Linked DNA regions of Nothobranchius furzeri. The protein of the gene in region 3 interacts with the protein of the main gene of each other region in a biochemical or structural test. Links are inferred from orthologs where the notes say so. Each region holds a gene or a part of one and is shown on either strand. Other genes may lie near its edges. The genes, in order: gda, cript and dlg3.

Region 1 (3,600 bases), on a different chromosome or scaffold from region 3:
AAAGTTAAGGGTTCAGTGACCACGATTACATAAAATGACCGAGTGAGGCTGCAAAACCTCATGTACGATTCCGCGTTTTCACCGTTACTCATTTATGTGAGCCTGCGTTCGGCGTTATGCAACAAGACAGTGAGATGATAAGAACAAGGCATAAAGGTAAAAGGCTGCTCTGCTTTTCAGCACATTTCTGCTGAGTCCAGAGGAACAGTTGGTAAAAATAAAATAAAGCTCAAATATCTGATATGTTCCTCTTTCAGAATCAAGCCAAACATGTGACGGCTTGATCACATTTTTATCTGCTGATCTAAAGGATTTCGGGCATGACATCATCAATTTCCCTCTGGGATTAATAAAGTATTTTTTGAATTGAATTGAATAATCCCATGAATAGAAAGAGCATTTTTGTGTTAAGTCAGCTAAAGAGGATAGATTTTCTTGTTCTGCAAGATGAGAAGTTATGCAAAAAAAAAAAAAACATCCAAAACAATCAACTTGATTTTAATGGAAAATGTATGTTTAGCTAAAAAAAAAGAAAAGGTGGGGTATAGATGCTGCAGTCATGCAAATTAGGAGAAAAGTCAGCTTTCTGCTGTGAATCAATCCTGAATCATGAGCTCAAATATGCTGTTTAACGAAATGTTATTCTTGTTTTCTGCATTGAAAGGCTGATTTGAATTACAGTGTTTCCCTGTGCATGTGTGCGTGTGCAACTTCGTACGTGCAATCCTCCCCAGCAGAAGAGAAGAATCCGTGTGAATAGTAGCAAAGTAACAGGCTGTAGTTGTTCCATTTCTTAGGGTTCTTTTCTGTAAAACACAAGCTTACATTACAGGAAGACCACTTCATTTCAAACTTTAACCCTCCCACTGTCTTTATGGGTGACCCGCGAGGAAAGTTGACCATTGAGCAGGATTGATGGTTTATCCCTTGAGGTCCATGTGGCAGGGGTGAGGTGGTGCTCACTCCTCCCCCCTGCCACATGGACCCAAGGGATAAACCATCAACCATGCTCAATGGCCACCTTTCCTCGTGGGGTCACACCCATTAAGACAGTGGGAGGGTTAAACCAATGGTGTCACTAAATTGTGAACTTGGGGTAAAAATTCTGCATCCTGCTCACCACTACTTGTGTGTAGACGTTATGGGCAAACTGTAAGTCCTTGAAACGGGACTCCACAGGAAAGGTGTAGGTGTTGAGCCACTGCAGCAAAGGCATGTCTAGGGCTGTGCCAGCATAGCTGTACTGGGAGGCATGAATGTGTGTGTCCACCATCCCAGGCATGAAGAACTCACTGTAACACAGCAAAAAAACAAAAACAAAAAAAAAAGGTGTGTAAATGTGTTTATTTGTCTCATAAGGATTTAATTAAGTTAATCTCTGACTTGACCCGTCTAGTGTGTCATAATTCATTCTCTTACTGATCCTCCAGTTGGATGACTTTAGATGGACTGAATCCAAAGGTCTGAGACAAATCCTGTAACTCTCCTCCTTTGTCAATAAAAGCAATCTGATGACAGAAAGAGGTAATTAGATGTATTTATAACATGTGTCAAGCTTTTAACCAGAAAACCTCACCCTCTTCCTGTATTGATATTTACCAAAAAGTTCCTGTATTTCTGCATTCTGTTATAATTTTATTCAATAGGTTTATTTTACAACACCTAACAAAAATGTAAGAAGGTTTTTTTTTTGTCTAAAGTGGATATATATAAATGTCACAAGGACTGTCACATATAAAGAAAATCATATATATAAATTAAAACATTTCTTTTTATGTTTTATGTTAAATAATAACACTAACCTGTTTGTCTGGGTTACATAATGAATAAATTGTTTTTCTTTAGTAAAGAATAGTTTCACGGAAATTGCTGAATGAGAATTTATTATAATAAAAGCGCAAATGATCAAGTCACCGGGAAACAACTCAAGATAAAATATTATAAGTTTATAACTTTTCATTGCCTTCGTTTTATCAGATCATTTATTCAGTTGTCAATTTGAAAAAGAAAACATAAACTGTAAATAAACCCGATCAAATTAGAGGAGTTTGTCAAACCTTTCCTCGGGTGTCCACTCCCAGGAGCGCATCTTCTAGGATCTGGAGCGGTGTCTGAGGCGTCGAGTGGACAAATGTCCCCCTGTAGACAAACGCAACAGCGGAGCAGGACCTGACGGAGGAGTCCATTACTACAGCAGTGTGATATGTTGCGGTGAGATACCTGCTGCAATAAAACGCGGCTTTTATCTTCCTGATCACCGTCCACTAGAGGGCGCCTCCACCTGACCGCAGAGCCGGTACGCAGCCAATCAGATTAGAGGATGGGTGAGGTGTGTGTGTGTGTGTGTGTGTGTGTGTGCGCGCGCGAGCAGAAAAGGTACGCCAAGTTCACAGATGAAATGAAAACAGCTTAAAACCAAAACACAGCTTTACACTAATCTTCATGTTGTATCAAAAAACATGTTCATTTTTATTTTTAAGGCCCATTAATTTTTTTTGTTTATGAAATAAGCAGTTTTTATTTCCAGAACTTATTTACAAACTCACGAGTTAACAAGAAAACATTAATGACTGAAATTACAAGATTATTATTAAGCATCATGTGTAAAAACACATGATGTTTCAGTCATGAGTGTTTCAAAGTGATGAGAACCTCCATGACTAACACACGCCACGATGATGAAAAAAAACGGATAAAGTTCGTTCTTGATTTTATCAGGATCACATGACAGATGAAAACATGAATTCTTTAAGATGACATCATACAAGAAAATAAACATTTTATGGACTCAGGTCAGGATGAGAAAAAAGGCTGTCAGAACAACTGAAATAAGGCTTAATAACATGGAAAATAAAGAAATAATGTTATTACTTAACATTTATTTATAATTTAATATAATCCTGTGGTGAAATTGTGATATTTTCTTTTGTTTTTAATATGCTTTTAGATTAATGTAATGATGCTAAATTGGTGATTTTGATGTTTAATATTGTTGTGTTTCAAAACACCGAGGTGTTATCGTTTTTTTTTTTAGATTTAACTAATTAAAAAATATATTGCAACAAATAAGCCCAGTACAAAGGGATATGTACCCTACAGGAATCTATCGTTTTACTACCCAAAAGTGTTCAAAGCTTTTACTAGTCAGAATTGTACTTTCACTTTAAAATTATATTAATAATGTAAACACGCACGCACGCACACACACACCAATAACCAAATGAAAAATAAAACAGAATAATTTTTGGTTTTATGACCATGACATGGATTAAAGCTTATTTCTGTTTATGAATGAAACAGTAACATTTATGGATGTGGCATGCCTGAAACATGAGATAATTATAAATCTAGTTTTAAAAATTATTTGTATTAGCTAATGCTAATAAAACAACTTTATAGCAAGTTTTTTTTTAATTTTATTCGGCAATTATATAACATTAAAACCGTAATAAAAGAATAAAACCATGTCTTGACATATGTACATTCACCTGAAGGATTATTAGAAACGCCTGTTCAACTTCTCCTTAATGCAATTATCTAATCAACCAATCACATGGCAGCTGCTTCAATGCATTTAGGGGTGTGGTCCTGGTCAAGACA
Region 2 (8,660 bases), on a different chromosome or scaffold from region 3:
GCAACCAACTGCACAGCCATGCATTCCACTAAGAATTATGTAGAGTGGAGTAAAAATGATGAGTTTCATAATTCCCAATTAGGGCTGCACAATATATCGAAAACTTATCGTCATCGGGATAACAGGACGTGCGATAGGCCCATCGCAAAGCACGTCAAAAACAGCGATAAATGTTTGGTTCAAACATTTCCATCTGTGTCATACATCAACTTTTTGTAAACCAGCTCTGTTTTTTACACGGAAGTTTTATTTGACCAATCAAATGTAGCCCTTCTGATATGCGGCCAATCAGATGGGTCCGTTCACGTAATACGCCCGCCCCCTATATAGACCCTTAGGAAGGGTGGAACGCAACACCCAAACTGAGTTAGCGGCGCCGTTCCCTTGTTCGTCATGCTGGCTCAGATTAACGAACGCACTTTGTGCTGAGGTTTCTGGAATCAGCGCTGCTTTCAAACGTGAGTCCGCACGGTGTTGTTAAGCAGCTGATAGTAACCGGGCTGACACGTGCCGGTGAACCAACCCACCTACCTCCATATCGCTAGTGTTAGATAGATAAACTTCATTGTCCACCTCGAATTGAGGCAGAAATTCGCCTTTGACATGGCTCACCTTACAATACAATCCATATCGCATTCACACAAATATATAAAAGACAATTAAAAGGTATTAAAATGTTATCGTAAAAAAAAAAAATTTTAAGACTTCAAAATTGTAATTGCGGTGGGAACAAATGATTTCTTATAGACACCTTTCTTGGCCAATGGAACTCTGTGCCTCCTTCCTGATGGAAGTAGCTGAAAATGTGGGTTCAATGGATGGGTTGAGTCTGCACTGATCAGGGTTGCCTTCCTGTGCACTGCTCGCTCGTGAAGAACAGAAAGTGGGATCTGAGGTGAGCCTGTAATTTTGCTGCCTAGTTTAACAATGCGAGAGAGTTGTGTTTTGTTATTAACTGCAAGAAAGTTATACCAAGCTGTAATATTTAAAGTTAGAATGGATTCAATCAGTTATTTGTATACAATTGTTAGGATGTCCTTGTTCACATTGAGTGCTCTTAGCTTCCTTAGCAGGTGGAGTCTTTGCAGCGCTTTCTTGTAGACACTGTTGCTGTGATTTGCAAAGGACAGGTGGTCATCAATTTCTGTTCCCAGATACCTGAATGACTGAACCTGCTCCACAGGCTGACCCTGTATGCTGAGGGGTTTGAACAGGGATGTGTCTGCCTCACTGGCTGCCCCACAGCACATTTCTTTAGTTTTTGAGATATTCAGCCCCAGGTGAAAGTCTTCAAATGTCTGGACCAGATTGCTGACCGCCTGCTGATATTTAGACAGGTCCTCCGACTGATGCCACCAGTGCCATGTCGTCTGCATACTTATACAGGGCCATTCTCTCACTATTCCACCGGGTGGTGATGTTAGCCCCAGGCGCCGGTTAGCTTCCAGCTAAAAGGCAACAGCACTCTCCTCCCAGTCCCACCCTGCTAAAAAGGGCCTGGAAAAGTTCCCCCACACATCAAAGTGATTTTTCATTTATGAGCTTTTATAACCTTGTTAATCAGGATAGTTGATTTGCTGCTGCACATAAACTGTCAATCAGAAGCTTTGCTAGCCAGTTATCTTAGTTCAATTTGTTAGCTTGTTATCAGAATCATAGTTGCAGTTTCATCATCTGAGCTGCATTTTAAGATCTAGGTAAACTTGTTCAATTTGGGGTTAAAAACAAACGTTTTCACATATTTTCCATGTAGTTTTTTGCCAGTTCCTCTTCTGAAAGGTAGACAATTGTTTTTCTCTTTCCCTCAGAAAATCTTAATATTCTCCTAGTTTGGCCCAGCACAGTTCACTTCCCAATAGCAGCAACAGCCTTATATCATAACCACATAAGTGGAGAAAATGCTCAGTAGCAATGAGAGAATTTGCTGTTCCATTTAAGTGATGTTAACTATTATTTAACATTTAAACTTATTTTCTGATATTTTTTTATTTATTCAAAAACCCTGGTAAGGGATGTTTTTCTGCATTTGGAGCATCAGAAAAAGTTTTATGGTGGAGGTGATGTTTTAAAGTCACTGAGAAACTGCATGCATGCAGTTTATTGTTTTGCTACTAATACAGTAGCAGGTGCAGCTGCATATTTTTGCAATAAAAATGTTATGTTGTAATGGAATTCATGCATTAGTTTTGTTTGCTTTGAACCCAGAGCAGACGTCACACGCCAGACGACATCAACACTGCATACTTTAGTATTTGTTCATTTATCGTGAGTAATATCGATATCGCAATATTAAACACTGTTATCGAATATCGCAGGTTTTTCTAATATCGTGCAGCCCTATTCCTAATTGTGAGTCTACCTAGGCATCATCATGAAGACATACCAAAGGCAGCAGGTTCAATGGGACACGTAGGCCTTGAAATCATTATAATAAAAAAGAAAACTTCAGCAAACTATAAAGATGATTTGTTTCACTGAGCATCTTCCATGTTTGATGAACCATCTGAAACATGGCCACTCCACTCTTTCATTTCCTGCAACTAAGACAGTTTGCTTCAATGTTCATCAAGATATGCCTTTTTAGATAAAGCCCTGTTTACATTTCATCATTCAGCCTAAATACAGTACAAACACACTGTATTCAAACAAACCTATCGAGAATGGCTCTAGATTATGCAAGTACAGTCTCTGTTGATGTGAGGCTGTAATTTTCTCCGGATTCTGACACTAAGACACACTGAAAAATGAAAACATCTGAGCAGAAAAGTCACAAGTTGAATTGTTCAACAACAGACAAACATTGCAGTTTCACAACTCGTCCCAGTTACTGTCACGTTTTCCTATAGGATGCAGATGGATTTGTCTCAGAGGAAAAGGATAATGTTGTTGGTGACATGATTACATGTGAAAAACTCAGCAGGGTGTTGAATAGAGAGCATGTGTGTGTGTGTTTTATGTAAAAGGGCTAATAGAAATGCTGTAGCGTTTTTGTGACACAAAACTAAATCTTCAGCACAATCACTTCATACCTTTCTTGTAAGCGCAGCCCTGGCAGTAGTGAGATCCAGCCTGATGAACTGAGCTTTTGCAGATCCTGCAGATTGCGAAGCCAGTCTTGCTGTAAGGGTCAAACCTGATGAAAATAATTGTTACACACATGACCAGTTATATCAGCTGACCACTTTGAATTAGTAATATACAACATTGAAAAACAGTAGCTAAACCGTTGTGTGACTTCTTCTGAGGAATAGTTCAGATAAGAGTTCATTATGATGGGCTTTTTAGGAAGATTTAAGAACAAGGTGTCACCTCATATTCTATACAAATCTTACAATCAGACTAAAAACCAAATGAGAGCTACTCCTTTTCTGTTACTAATAAGGTTCACCAGATATTGTCACCTATTCCCTTTAACTTGTATATGGACGATCTAAGTTTTATTTAACTAAGAGAGCATAAGAGTGGATGAATGGGGAAATAATGACCAATCATCTCATGACTGCTGAAGATTTGATGGTCTTTTACTCTTCAGAGCAGGTTTGCAACAGTTACTTAAGAGTGTGTTCCAGCTATGATGTAAAAATCAACTGTTATGATTGCAAGAAATGAAGAAGATCAGGATTTAAACGTGGTTCATAAAGTAAAATACTAAGGACAGATGATTAATGATGATTCATGTGGTGATTTGTGCCAATGCAGCAAAATGTATGCCCAAGCAAATATGGTGGTGAGAAAGTTTTATATGATAAGGTTGAACTTTAGTAAAATAACAGTTTTTGGTTCAATTTCAAGAAGGTAATTTTAAGATAAGTATATTAATGCGTTTAGAATATTTTCTCTGACTTCTCATATTTGTATTTACATTCATTAGATTGTTGTAATTAAAGTTTATTTTTTTCTATAAATTGTTTTTACTCACCTGGCTTTTTTGGATGTCAAAATCTTGTTCTCATTTAGCTTACGTCCTCCACTCTCTGACACAAAGAAAGAAGACAAACTTGTTAAACACGGACATCTAAATGTTACTATACCTATACTAATATAAAAAAAATAAACACCAATTAATTTATATTATGGCGTGATCAACCAAATGAGGACTAAACCTGCTAGTAACGTGAAAAAATATAGAAACAATGATTACATTTTCAAAAGTAACTTGTAAACAAGACAACAAGTCTCATATCTAGAATAATTAACAAACAGCAATTTATCATACTGATGGCAAAAAAACATTTCACTACGCATTCCTCGGGTCACCTGTTGTATTCCGTGCTCCGTCCTTCCAAGTGTCGGGGGTAATTACTTTTCCCAGTTTCTTCTCGCCTAAAATATAAAACAAAACAATTATGGAGGAAAATACAATAAGAACTAAACTATTGGCCTTCTAGTTTGCATTTGAGACTTTCGCTGACAAAAGTAACGTTCATCAGATTTTAAAATGAACAATACGTCTGAAAATCAGAAGCAAATGACATACATACACTTTTCACAGACCATCTTTGCGGTGTGTCGAATGACGCAGTAGAAATGATCGTTTGTTAGCTTTAGCTTGCTTTGCTAATGTAAACGTCCGGTCAGCTGAGGCATTTCAAATGACAGGTTTCATTGGTTGCTTTAACGAGTAACATCTTCTGTGATTGGTTAAAACAATTGAGTTACGCAACGCGAACTATAACTTACTACTTCCCGTTTATTTGCTTATAGGTTCTTCAAAATAAATGTTTGATAAAGTCAAGCACTTTTACCTTATTTAACCCAAGCGTATTCATTAGCAGAGATTGAGTAACAAGTAAAACATACACCTTTTTCACTTGAAATTGAAATAAACTGACCCGATAATCTATGATAATATGTTTCGAAACGGATGTTTTTTCATCATTCACCTAAGATGTCTGTGCGCAGTAGACTTTTACTGTGAAATTAAGCGGACGTTCTTACGTCTTCGTGTTTACGGAAACGCGGAAAAGAAATACATAGACCTGACAGTTTCCCAATGTTACCTTACGTTTTTTAGGTGTTTTATTTGACTTCCCCGCATCGTTATCGGGTTCTTGTTGTAAATAGTTCACGTCTTCATCATGTGGGACCATGAAATTAAAGCTATGGCGTCTACTCACGCGATTATCACCGCCTCGGTGTTCATGGCCACGGTCATCCCCGCGGTGTTTGTCCCGGGCTTCTCAGTGTATGGGACTCACCTGCTGTGGGTCTACGCGGTGTCCGGTACGGTGACCTGTGTCAGCGTCGCTATCTTCTGGCTGCTCGGCATCTCACCGCCCACCAAAAAGCACACACTGGGATACAAGGTGCCAAAACAACTAGATAATGTTTTTAAAGTGAATTGTTGATTATGTTCGACATATAAATGTATTATGTGATATGTGAAGGTATCTTATGAATTTTACAAAATGTATTCGTTTGTTATTATTAATATTATTATTATTTGGACAGGGAAATGGACATCAGTCAACTTGCTTTTTAATTAAATTTAATAGATGTGTGAAAATGAAGGTAAGTTTTGGATATTGTAAGGTGAGGTGATGAAAAAGTAGAAATTGTAAGCGTTTCTTGTTATGATCTATTTTATTTAGGTGTGAAAAAAGTAATTGTCTCTTAACACATTTCATATATTATTTGTTTAATTTTTTGTCCCACTTAAATGGTTCAGATCAAACAAATTTCAACATCAGGCAAAGAGAACTTGAGTAAACTAAACTAAATGCAGTTTTCAAAGGATTATGTCCTTTATGAAGGGAAGAGAGCTAACAAAACCATCCGAGTTTCATTTCATTTTAATTCGGTTCATCCATGATCTAAACGGCTCATCTTTAGCGCTAATCATCATCAGATGAGAGCTAGGGGACATTCTGGACAGGTCTCCAGTCATATAGAAGGACAAACAACCATTCAAACATACACTCTCCCACCTAGAGACTATTTAGAGTCATTATTGAACCCTTTTCATGGATGTGTCTGGTCCATGGGAGGAAGCAAGTTACTGGAGAAGGGCCACACAAGCATGGGGAGAACATCCTAACTCCACGCAGAAAGGCCATGCAGGCAGGATTCGAACCTGCAGCATTCTTGCTTTGAGGCAAATAAATTTAATTTTTTCATAAAGCGCCAGTTCACAACATAAGTCACCTCAAAGCGTACAAAGAAACAAAGGAAGTACCTCCACCTTTGTTAAATCGTGAATTACGTTTTGTTCATTTGCCTCTTCTAGAAATGACTTCAGAGAACATGTCTCATAAAGCAGGCAAAAAAATCTCAAGAAGCAACACATCAGGTCTCACTTGGTTAATGTCGAGGTCAGACTTCAGGATTTAATAATAAAAAGAGATGGGAAACAAAAATGGCCTCCATGTGAGAGTCCTATGATGACGACCTCAGCTGACAAAGAAGAACATAAAGGACCCTCTCACATTTGTTAAAAAAAGAATAATCCTTAAGACTTGTAGCAAATTATTCCATTTTGGACAGTGCGTTTCCAGGTTGGTTTAGACTATTTTTGTTAATAAATTAAACATTTAATTTCCCAGGTTATCTTTGTCCGATATTGAAAATGTGTTTGCTGATCTGAAACATTTTGGCGTGACAAAAAGGTGAAAACAAAGAAATCTGGAAGGAGCAGAATCCAAAGGCGTTCCCTGGCCATCCAAGAGACCCTCCAGCGTGTCCTGGATCTTCTTTTGGGTCTCCTCCCAGTTTGAAGTGCCCAGTAAACCTCACCAGGAGGCGTCCATGAGACATCCTAACTAGATGCCCAAGCCACCTCAACTGGTTTGTCTCGATGTGGAGGAGCAGCTGGTCTAACTCCGAACCCCTCCTGGATGACCGAGCTTCTCACCCGATCCCCAGTGGAGAAAACTCATTTCAGCCGCTTGTATATGTGATCTCGTTCTTTCGGTCACTACCCAAATCCCGTGACCATAGATGAGGGGAGGAACGTAGATCGACTGGTAAACTCGCCTTCCAGCTCAGCTCTCTCCACCACGACAGATCGGTACAACGCCCGCTGCACTGCAGACGTAGCACCAATCCGCCTATCGATCTCACGCTCCAGCTTTCCCTCACTCGTGAAAAAGACCTCGAAATACTTAAACTCCTCCACTTGAGGCGGGACCTCATCCCTGACCCGGAGAAGGCTACTCAAGAGCATGGTCTTGGATTTAGAAGCTGTTACTATTTCATTAAAACATCTTAGTATATCAAACCAAAGTTGTAAGTTAGGAAATGTATTTTTTTACACAATATTAATTATTTCACTTTGTTTATTATGACTTGTTATATTTTACTACTATTTTGATATTATTTTGCTATAAATGTTTTTTACTACTGTAGTTACTACGTTTTAGGCTGTAATAATGAACCTCATGTTTAACGTGTGTTGAATTGACAAATAAATAATCTTTATATTTTGCAAGATGTGCTTCTTTACATGCTTAAATGATCAACTTCTCTATAATTTATTGTTGGTCACATATTTTTTGAACCCATCCCTCACATTCACATTCTCAAATGCTCTAAGATTTTAGTTTTCATCCCAAAACATTTAGTTTTTAATCCGATCATGTCTTTCTGTCCTCAGCTGTCCAGGCTGTCTCGCTCCTGTTTGTACTTCTTCCTGTCGTGTTTGTTCTTCTACACGGTGGTGGTTCTCTATGGAGCTCCATTGATAGAGTGAGTAGCTGATTCTGCTCAAGTAACACACACACACACACATTGTTAAACAGTGTATTTAGAGCTTGTTTTCACTCTAGATTTATCTACAGCAGTGCTTCTCTTCTTCGGTTTTACTTAGCTGACACAGCTTGTGTTTAACTTTATACTTTTTAGATCTGCTTTAGAGACATTTTCACTTTCTGTCCTCCTGACCTCACTGACCACGCTGAGGTGCCTCTGTGTTCTTGGCCCTAACGTTCAGACCTGGATACGAGTGTTCAGTCGGCATGGGTAAGCCAAAACTCTCCTGTCATCATCTTTCCATCCCATTCCCACACTTTACTCTTGATCTGTCCCTGTCCTCAGAGCCATGTCAGTGTGGGACACCTGCCTGCAGATCACAGTGGCCTGCACCCTGATAGGAGCCTGGGTTGGAGCATTTCCAATTCCTTTGGACTGGGACAGGCCCTGGCAGGTCAGCAGCTCGCATAGAAAACCCACATGTACATGATTGAGCTTTTATTTTAATTTTATTTTTTTAATTTGAGATCAAACTTTCTTAAATACAATTTTTTTAAACAATTCCCTTTATTTTATCTTTGCAAAATCAACATGAGTCTTAACTTTCCTTTTAAAAATGTTCTTGAGTTTTTGCTTTTTCTCATTTAGTTACTGATGAGAAGGGAATCTGAATCACGCTGATGTGTGATCCAATTTGCAAGTGTTATTTTAAATATTGAGTGTGTTTAAGGGCTTGCAACACAAATAAAAAGACATACTGAAAATGTTATGACCCCAATAAGTGCAGTATCAGCATCCAGAAAATATGTTGTTGCTCTTTGCATGAAATGAAAATATTGTTGGAACTAGAGCTGATCTGAGCTTTGTGACATGCTGCGTTATCCTGCTGGAAGCAGATGGGTCCACTGTGGTCAACAACAAGACTCTGATTGGAACCAGTGGACTTTTGAGCTGCTGTTTTCTTTCCATCATCT
Region 3 (8,660 bases):
AGAGCAATATACTCCTCAGTGAGTCGCTTTAAAAGAAAAGTGCTAGCTAAATTAATGCAATGTAGAGTAGTAAACAGATGCACACAGAGAAGTCACGTTTCTGTGTTCCAGCACGGCCTCACATATGCTACAATGACGAGCAGCTGATCCCACCCTTGCTAAAAATGAAATACCAAAACCCGTACTGTCCCATACGGTTTTAGAAAAATATTTAAGCAGTTAAGTTTCTCAATCATATCATAATCTTCAATCCATGGAAAATCAACCACAGCCTCCCAAATGTTCTAACAGCTGACCTGTCTTCTTCACGTGTAAGTAGACCCATGTGCTCTTAAAAAGACTGAGCTTAGCTGAGGACAGGGAATAATGTGTTTCCTCTAAATGTATTAGGTCAAGAAACTACTTGAATGATAAAGCTTTTTCTGCATCAAAATATTGACATTATTAAATTCAACAAACTAAAACTTTGCAGTATAAAATCTTTTTCAGAAACATGGTTTAGGACCTTCAGATTCTACCAAAAAAGGTAAAAAAATAAAAATAAAAAAGTTCTCGTTCAAGGACAGCAGCTCTTTTCTAAACATCTACAATTTTCTGACTGCCAGACAATTCACCACAATTCCCCCCCATAAAATCCTTAAAGTGTGTGTTGATGCTGCAGCAACTTGCTTTCTGTTGCATCAAAGTATGTGATACTAGAAACGCCTGAATACTCCAGGCAAGTTGCAGTTTTGAAGGATGATGACATTGGAGAACAAAAGCTGCCTTGTAGCACTATGATATTCTTCAGTCTCGTGCAGGTAATATGCATAGTTTCGTCTTCAAGAAGCTGTTGATTGTGAAGTTGTAGTACTATAATATTAATCTTTTTGTAGGTTTGGACCTTTACTGTTATCTGCTAATTTTGGAAATTATGATGCTGATGATTATTTGCATATTATGAGATTTGCCCAGGCTTCATAACAATTTTCTTTTAAAATTCATGTGACTTGAGACTGAATGACCTCTAGTTGGAATTCAATTGTGGTTCAGGTTTGAAAATCATGATTGTAAAAATGTTCATAAATTTAAAATCTGCAGCGGCTTGCTGTTCACACAGACGATTCTGTACCGTTACGACTGCACGTTGATTCTGATAATATACTATACATCTAAGAAACACTCTCCGATAAATCTTTTAAGAACTAGTTAGAATGCTGCTGGTTTTGAATGGCTCCTGTAAGGATTACAGGTTGGGATTCCAGCTCGAGACATTTGAACATGTAGAACTTGTAGATCCAATACATTGAAACTCTCTGGAAGGCTGCTAGGAGAATAGCAAATTAAATCTAACCTAGAAAAAAAACCTCATCATTCAAACGTACAATACACTGTTGTGTAACTATTAACACACTTACACACACACACACGGAGGCTTTCATGTCATAATCACCTATGGGAGTGTTAAGTGAGGAACGCCCACTGTGTCTCTGCATGCTTTTAAGCCTCTGCTAGTACAGCAGTAAACAGTAGCTCTGGCAGAGCATCTTGGACCCAATATTGACGCTAATAAATAAAATAAAATCCAATTAATATTTAAAGCTAATCATAGCCACAGAGTTGGAGAACAGACAAAGACAGATTGGAGCCCGCCGGGGAAAAAGGGAGCTTTCTGATGGATGATCCCAGTAGACTGAGGTCTCTACTTTTCTCAGATTTAAATTCAAAAGCTTTTGTTTTAAAAGAAAGCTCTTATAATCCCAGCTGAAATCAACCACAATTAACCCAGCAAGCTCATGACAAAAGCAGTACAACCACTTTGTAAATAGATGACGGGGGATAGGAGTTCATTTGTATGGGGCCGTCTAATGATTTCCTCACACAAGAGTGAAATGTTCACCGCTACAGAGCCATTTCACATTAGTGATGCTGCTATAGAGGCTAGCTCTGATCACTCTGAATTTCACCCTGCTAACATCCAAAAGGCTGGTTAGTTATGAAAGCGTAAAGATGATGCGTGATGGGGCGTGTGTGTGATCACTGTCCAGCTGTGTGAAGGTAGTGGGAGGAAGGGTGGGATTCACATTTCCCAACTAGAACGAGCAATGATAACTAAGAACCAAAAAGGTGGCAGTGATTGAGGATGTGTATTTCCAGCTACGCCATCATGTTCACGGGAAGGTGGGAGGGGCGCATGCTGGTCATTGACATGGCTGATTTAAAAGATGGACAGACAGATGCTTCCCCATAGTGTCAGTGCCTCTCCAGCTTCTCTCACTGACAGCATCACCAACTGCCTCTTCTTACATAACCCCCTCCCCCTCTTTAAGGCCGCTTCCTGCCTTTATTGGTTTATTTGTCTCCTTTTCAACCTTTGCATTTTTCCCCCACTGAACCTCTGCCCCATCCCTGACTTCTCATATTCAATTCAAGCTCTTTTACCTCCACAGTAAAGCTGAAGATTCAGCTGTACTTGAGGCTCGAAGGGCAGGCTGTACGTTTCCCCCACACAGATTTGACGGGGGTGAACATGCACATTGAACAAGGTAGAAAAGATCATTTAAAAGGACGTCGATATATTAAAACAATTTCAGGAAAACATACGACCCTTGGAGGAATCGTTACGCAGGCTAAAGATGGGAGTCCATTTAACAGCTACTGATTTTTATAATATAATAATTAATTAACACATATTCTGCAAATGAGTGGCAGAAAAAAGGGGGTAGTCCTGTTGGGAGACTAAAACCTTCATGTAAGCAATAACTGCTTACATAATCACATCTGCTGCAAGCTTCAAATGTGTGAAACATGAGTTACGTCTGACTGGATTCGATGCAGCTGTAATGAAATACAAACTAAAAAAGGCATCAATGTTTTCTCCTTTTCCCTTTTCACTGAAAGCATTCTTTGGCAGCGGTAGTCTGCTAATATCAGAGCGGTTGCGGCTCATACGAGAGCTCATCTTAGGAGGAACTCTCCCTCTCCATTTTCTTCTCACCTTCCCTGTTCTTATTTTTCTGTCCAAAAACACAATCGAGCACAAATGAAAACGGCGCATGCAATGATGCTGCATCACTCATTGCTAATGCAAGGCTGCATAAACACTTACTCGTGCACAGCAAGAACCATTCCTTGGATCTCATGCCGTACGAACTGCCCATCCCCCACCCAAGATCGCTCTCATTCTCACATATGTGCACCTTGCTTAATTAAAGACAGCTTCTGAAGCTGTCCTGACCTTTTCTCAACTGTAATTTCCAACGACATGTAAATAAATGGCGTTAACAGAAACAAAATGGTGCCAATAAAAAAATGAAAAAGGCTGTTTCATTCACACTGTGCAACATGTAAGAAGGGCAGTGTTTGAAAACAGGTTTGTATTAGACAGCATCCTATAGTGCTATGTTTGTTCAAAAAGGCTAGTCTAAAACAACTCTTATATAGACCATCGATTTTATTATCTCTTCTTCTGCTCATTGCTTATGCGACACAATCCTTCATTCAGTCGATCAAGAAGGAATCAAATTCCTACATTTAGGTTTATAGTCGGACAGCAACGTAAGAATTTGCTGGTTTGAGGGGAAAACGCAAACTGCATCACTGTGCCGCGTCAATATAAGGACATTTTAGGCCTATGGTTACTGCATCAGCATAGGCCTTTGACGACATACACTAGGTGTGTTAAATCTATAAGCATTAGTCATCTGCATCAGTCCCAAACATCGTCGCCGTGTGTGTGTGTGTGTGTGTGTGTGTGTGTGTGTGTGTGTGTGTGTGTGTGTGTGTGTGTGTGTGTGTGTGTGTGTGTGTGTGCGCGCATGCAGTGAAACCAGATCAGTCCTGTTCCAACAGAGGAACCACAGACAACAAATGCAGAATGAGAAAACTTGAGATTAATACAAAATTTCTAAAGTTTCATTAAAATACACAGCTGATACATGATCAATATATCTTTTTTCTTTACTATGACTAACTTATCTCAGTTCAGGCCCCGCCCCCTCCATTAAGCATCACATGCTTGAGAAAATAAGAGCGAAGTGGAAGAGTTACCTGATCATACCACTCCCGGTTGGTACAGGTGCACTCGGGCCACCATCCTGCTTGTCCAGTGGAGTTGTTGCCATTTACTTTGGGGCCCCCTTTGGATTGGCCCTTTGGGTTAGGGCATCCAGGGCCCCCACCAGACATCTTGCCCTTACTTCTCCCCAAAGTGCCCCCTCCTCCTCCCATGCTTCCACCCCCTCCTGAGGCTGGAGGGGGTAAGGTCTGGCCTCCTCCATACCCAGGTGGGTATCCATAGGGCTCTGCCTGCCATTCACCTCCGTACGCTGGGGCGTCCATCCTACGTAGAGCTGCCATCCGGGTCACCTCATAACATTCTGGGCACTTGCAGCAGTGGTGGTGTTTGTGCATGCTGGCTGTGCTGGCTAGGCTGATGTTGAGAAGAGCGGCGTGGCACTCTGTCTCTGCGTCCTCCTAGGATTTCACACAGCACTCTGCGATCAGCTCAAAGAGCGTTAATGCCGATGGAAATAACACTAATCACAGGAATTGCTTCAGATTTTCCCTTCTTCGTCCGATCCTGCCAATTTCCACTTTACTCCTCTTCAATGTAAGAAAAAAAAAGAATTTCAGAGGAATGGGAAGCAGCAACAGGAAAACAAAAATACAAAATGAGCACGTAGTCTTTGTCCTCTGACGTAGAAGATCAAAGGAAATGTTTAAGATATTGTTTGCCACCACGCAATCAGAGACCAGCCCTGATGATAGAAATGTCTTCTTGCTTCTCTTGGTTCACAGTGATACGCATATAAATTCATAGATATATAGAGAGAGATTCTTTTGTTTATATATCATATATATTTACACACACAACTACATATAAAAATATTAATATAAACGGACAAGCACAAATACAGATATGTACAAGGATAAATGTTTATATATAAATATCTATATGTGTGTGTACAAATATATAGAGAGATATATAAACAAGATGTATAAATAAATGATATCCGCGGATGAAAATCTTCCTCTTTTGATTCTTGTTATCTTCCTGTTCCGTCAAAAACGTCACGTTTTTCCTCCTGCGTTGAAAATCGTTGCCTTTCGCTCTCTGTCTCTTTTTCTCAGCCTGCAGAGAGGAGCTGAGCACTGGATCGCCTCTCAGTCAGCTTGCCCTAGATGTGGATTATTCAGAGGGATGTGAGCAAGCAAGAGGGAGGTGGAGAGAGGGGGGGGGCAGCGAGGGGGGAGGGGGAGGATACGTAGCAGCATCCCTCTAGCAGCTCAGCCCTGACAGCCACAGCCAATCAACTTGCAGCGCTGCCATCAGCAGCAGCACCAACAGAACTGAGCGCTTCACTAGCTGCTCTTAAAGGGGCAGCGACATGCACATCTCACTGCTGCCTAGCTTCAGTGAGATGGCACTTCTCGACTAATTATGCCATATAAAAACTGCCCATGTGGTTAGATTTGTTTTTAAAGAAAAATAAGTTTAGCAGCATCTCAATAACAGGAGCTAAAGCTGACACGTGAGTCTAAATCATGTTATGCCATCACAACACTGCAGCTGAAATCCAATTTACAATAACGGATCACTGATCAAATCCCTGATAATCTCTAGCACTGCAGAAGAATCTCCATCTTTCTTGTGCCATCAGTTCCCAAACCTTGTGCTCTGTGTCAAAGCACACCTAAGTAAATAAGCTCATACTCATCAGTTTAAAGCCCCTTGTTATCCCAGCCATCACTAGTCCTGCCTCTTGGCAGAGGGTGCCTTTTAATCACACTGTGATTTGCATCATTCTTCATATTTCCTTGACTGCCGGCAAAGCAGCTCTGCTGCTGAATTATTTCACTGCCCATGTGCAGAACCTGGTCAAAATAAGCACAGTGGGACAATACTGTCCCTCTGAAACCTCGTTTAGGAACCATAGGGGAGTTATTTCATGTTCACAATGATGACATCAACACATGTGTACCAAACCAATAAGATTACCCGCTTAGGCTTTCGAGTGGGTGGAGGAAGAGATTAAGAATGAGAAAGTGTGAAGGGAAAACAGAGAAGGGGAGTCTATATGGCTTTCGTGTATCTGTGGCAGTTATATTTTCAGCAGAGTGTGAGGACTGCCCGAGAGCCATTTTGCATTCCTATGAATTTGTGGGTTGATCACAACTAGGTACAAAACATCCCGACAGAGAGGTTCATCTTTATAGAGAACGGATGGAGAATGTTACAGTGTCGCCATTAAAGCCCTGTATGTATGCATTATTAATGAAATGTGATGGGAAGACAGAGCTGGGTGTGTCTTCATGAGAAACACAGCATTTACAAATGTTGTTTCGTTACAGGCTTGAAGTGAACATATGCAGTTTTTGGATCAACAAGCATTTAACAAAAAAATAAATAACTGACGTATGAGATCTGAGCAAGGTTCTTGTCAAACTGCGCGGGATCCTAAAACAAGAGCACACTGCATCGTGTTGCAACCCTACCAGGAGGCTCACACAGCAGGCTCAGCCACACTTAATTACATGCAACAGTAACTCACTTCATTTTAATGATATTTCACTCAAACCTACAGAGATTTTCTGGGCAAAAAGGAAAAAAACGAGGCAAATATGTCCTTTATAAAAGAATCCAGAAAATAATATATGAATGCCCCAGGATGCAGCCACAATCCCTTCTAAAGTCAATGAGAGAAGTGAGGCGGAGCTTGGAGGAACGAATGTAAGCATAGTGATCCGAGCACACACGATCACATCCACTCCTCCAAACCACACTGGGCTTCTTCTAAACTCCTCAAATCGTATTTATAAAACGGTGCAATCAGGAGGGACAAAAAACCTGAATCGTCATAAATCTAAAGTATGGATCTGTAGAACGGAAGACAAAGAAACAACCTCTCCACTGCATGAGAACAGATGGGTTAACACTTCAGCTGCATAATGGCAATAGTTAATCTACAGGAAAGAAGAAAATATCATACCATAAATACTTATAACCAATTTACATTAGCTACAAAGGACAATTTAATCATTTCTTAGAAGGCGACTTTACTCTAATGCTAGGTAGCTAGCAAATCTTTCTCCTTGCAAAGGGACAAGCATAAATGACTCCTGGGGATGTAAAAAGGTACTGATAGAATGAAATATTGTGATACTTTCTGTAATGATACTGAATCAATATTTAAAAGCACTGTAGATTTTTTATTGAGAATTTACATGCAAACATTTAATGCACTTCTTTTGCATGGTGCAATTCTAACTCTGACAGCTAGGTGGCAGCAGTTTTTACAGTCTTCCTTCTGCCAGAAGAAGAGATCTTGAGATAACACTAGATGTGTCTTGGAAGCTCTGGCCTGAGTTTTCAAAATAAGTTCAGTCTTAAAATTTGTATTGTCCAACTTTTAATATCACAACAGGGTATCTGCAGGTTTAAGTGAGCTAAATTTAAGACTTTTTAAGACCTTTTTAAGGCCATTTTGACCAAATTTAAGCAATTTTTAAAAATTAAATTTAAGCTAAAATTTCCAGCTATTGCCTGGAACCAGTGCTAACCATGTCGCCAACGTGGAATTAGCCATCCAGTTACGATTAAACTTCCACTTCCCCATGGCGCAAGCGCCCACTAGCTTAACCAGCCAATGTGCTCATCTAAAAATAGCCCCCTTTCGCAACCAACTGAATGTGTATTGTTCCGCTTACGCCAATATCATACACAAAAAATGCTGAACACCAACTAGAAATTTATGAAAATTTTATAGAAATAAAAGAATCTTGTTTATTGGGTCTTTGGACATTTAAGACCTTTGGAAACTGTATTTAAGGATTATTTGTCATTTTTAAGGATTTTTAAGGCCTTAAATTTGGTAAAACAAATTTAAGACTTTTTAAGGACCCGCGGATACCCTGCACAATAAGTCGTATCGTCTCCCCTGGATTGTGACAGATTAGCGTACCACCAGATTCTTGCAGAAACACCCCTAGATTTTCCACATGGGATGCAAAATGAGAAAAAGATTTTCATCATTATTACATCTTTTCTTGTCTTCTTGCACTAAATCTAAAATAACTTTTGGCGCTGTTTGAAAATAAGCACAAAAAAAGCACTTTCTTGGCATCAAAACGTGTCTTTAAATTTCACGGTGAAATCCATGGCACGTATCAAACGGGATCAGAAAATTGCTTTTATAGACCCATTTACTTACAATTCATTTTTTCTTACTTCCGGGGACCCATGGTGCGGAAGTAGATGGGCGTGACTTGGGCTCCCTATAGATTTGGACAATAAGGCATAAATATCATTTTTACTGCTAAATCCTGATTGTTCACATTTGCATTATTAGCAACAGTCCTGATAAAGACATCTGATTATCTTAGATCATCATCTTCTTGTTCTAATAATTCATATTTAAAAAATTTGTCATTACTCAATCTCAGTTGGTAGTTTTAGGAGGTAAAATTAATTTCCTTTCTGTAGTAGTGACACAAACATCAGCTGATCTTCACTTTACTCATATCAATATAGAAACTGTAATATGAGATTAATGTCTGATTAATTGACTGATCATCGCTGATAAATTATTTATATAATATGATAATACATATAATCTGTGTACATAAAAACCTGGAGGTAAATAAAAAAGATGCTCATATGAAGAAACCCTCTTGTGCAT

What was found.
Region 1: the proteins of dlg3 (region 3) and gda form a complex in vitro, tested with the Homo sapiens proteins (2 studies listed by BioGRID and IntAct, with this or other methods). The link is inferred for Nothobranchius furzeri from reciprocal best matches to the Homo sapiens genes DLG3 and GDA.
Region 2: the proteins of dlg3 (region 3) and cript form a complex in vitro, tested with the Homo sapiens proteins (2 studies listed by BioGRID and IntAct, with this or other methods). The link is inferred for Nothobranchius furzeri from reciprocal best matches to the Homo sapiens genes DLG3 and CRIPT.

What each region holds. Positions count from the first base shown.
Region 1 is NC_091757.1:40,759,138-40,762,737, forward strand, and holds the start of gda (guanine deaminase), read right to left. Parts: upstream 2,244-3,600; 5' UTR 2,187-2,243; coding exon 2,058-2,186; intron 1,509-2,057; coding exon 1,420-1,508; intron 1,293-1,419; coding exon 1,121-1,292; intron 807-1,120; coding exon 719-806; intron 1-718. UniProt on the Homo sapiens protein: Catalyzes the hydrolytic deamination of guanine, producing xanthine and ammonia.
Region 2 is NC_091756.1:43,770,751-43,779,410, forward strand, and holds the start of cript (cysteine-rich PDZ-binding protein), read right to left. Parts: upstream 4,639-8,660; 5' UTR 4,498-4,638; coding exon 4,482-4,497; intron 4,324-4,481; coding exon 4,258-4,323; intron 3,975-4,257; coding exon 3,920-3,974; intron 3,134-3,919; coding exon 3,030-3,133; intron 1-3,029. Other genes in the region: pigf (phosphatidylinositol-glycan biosynthesis class F protein), read left to right, coding at 5,079-5,306, 7,592-7,683, 7,840-7,956, 8,032-8,140. UniProt on the Homo sapiens protein: As a component of the minor spliceosome, involved in the splicing of U12-type introns in pre-mRNAs. Involved in the cytoskeletal anchoring of DLG4 in excitatory synapses.
Region 3 is NC_091741.1:84,158,108-84,166,767, reverse strand, and holds the start of dlg3 (disks large homolog 3), read right to left. Parts: upstream 5,198-8,660; 5' UTR 4,393-5,197; coding exon 4,030-4,392; intron 1-4,029. UniProt on the Homo sapiens protein: Required for learning most likely through its role in synaptic plasticity following NMDA receptor signaling.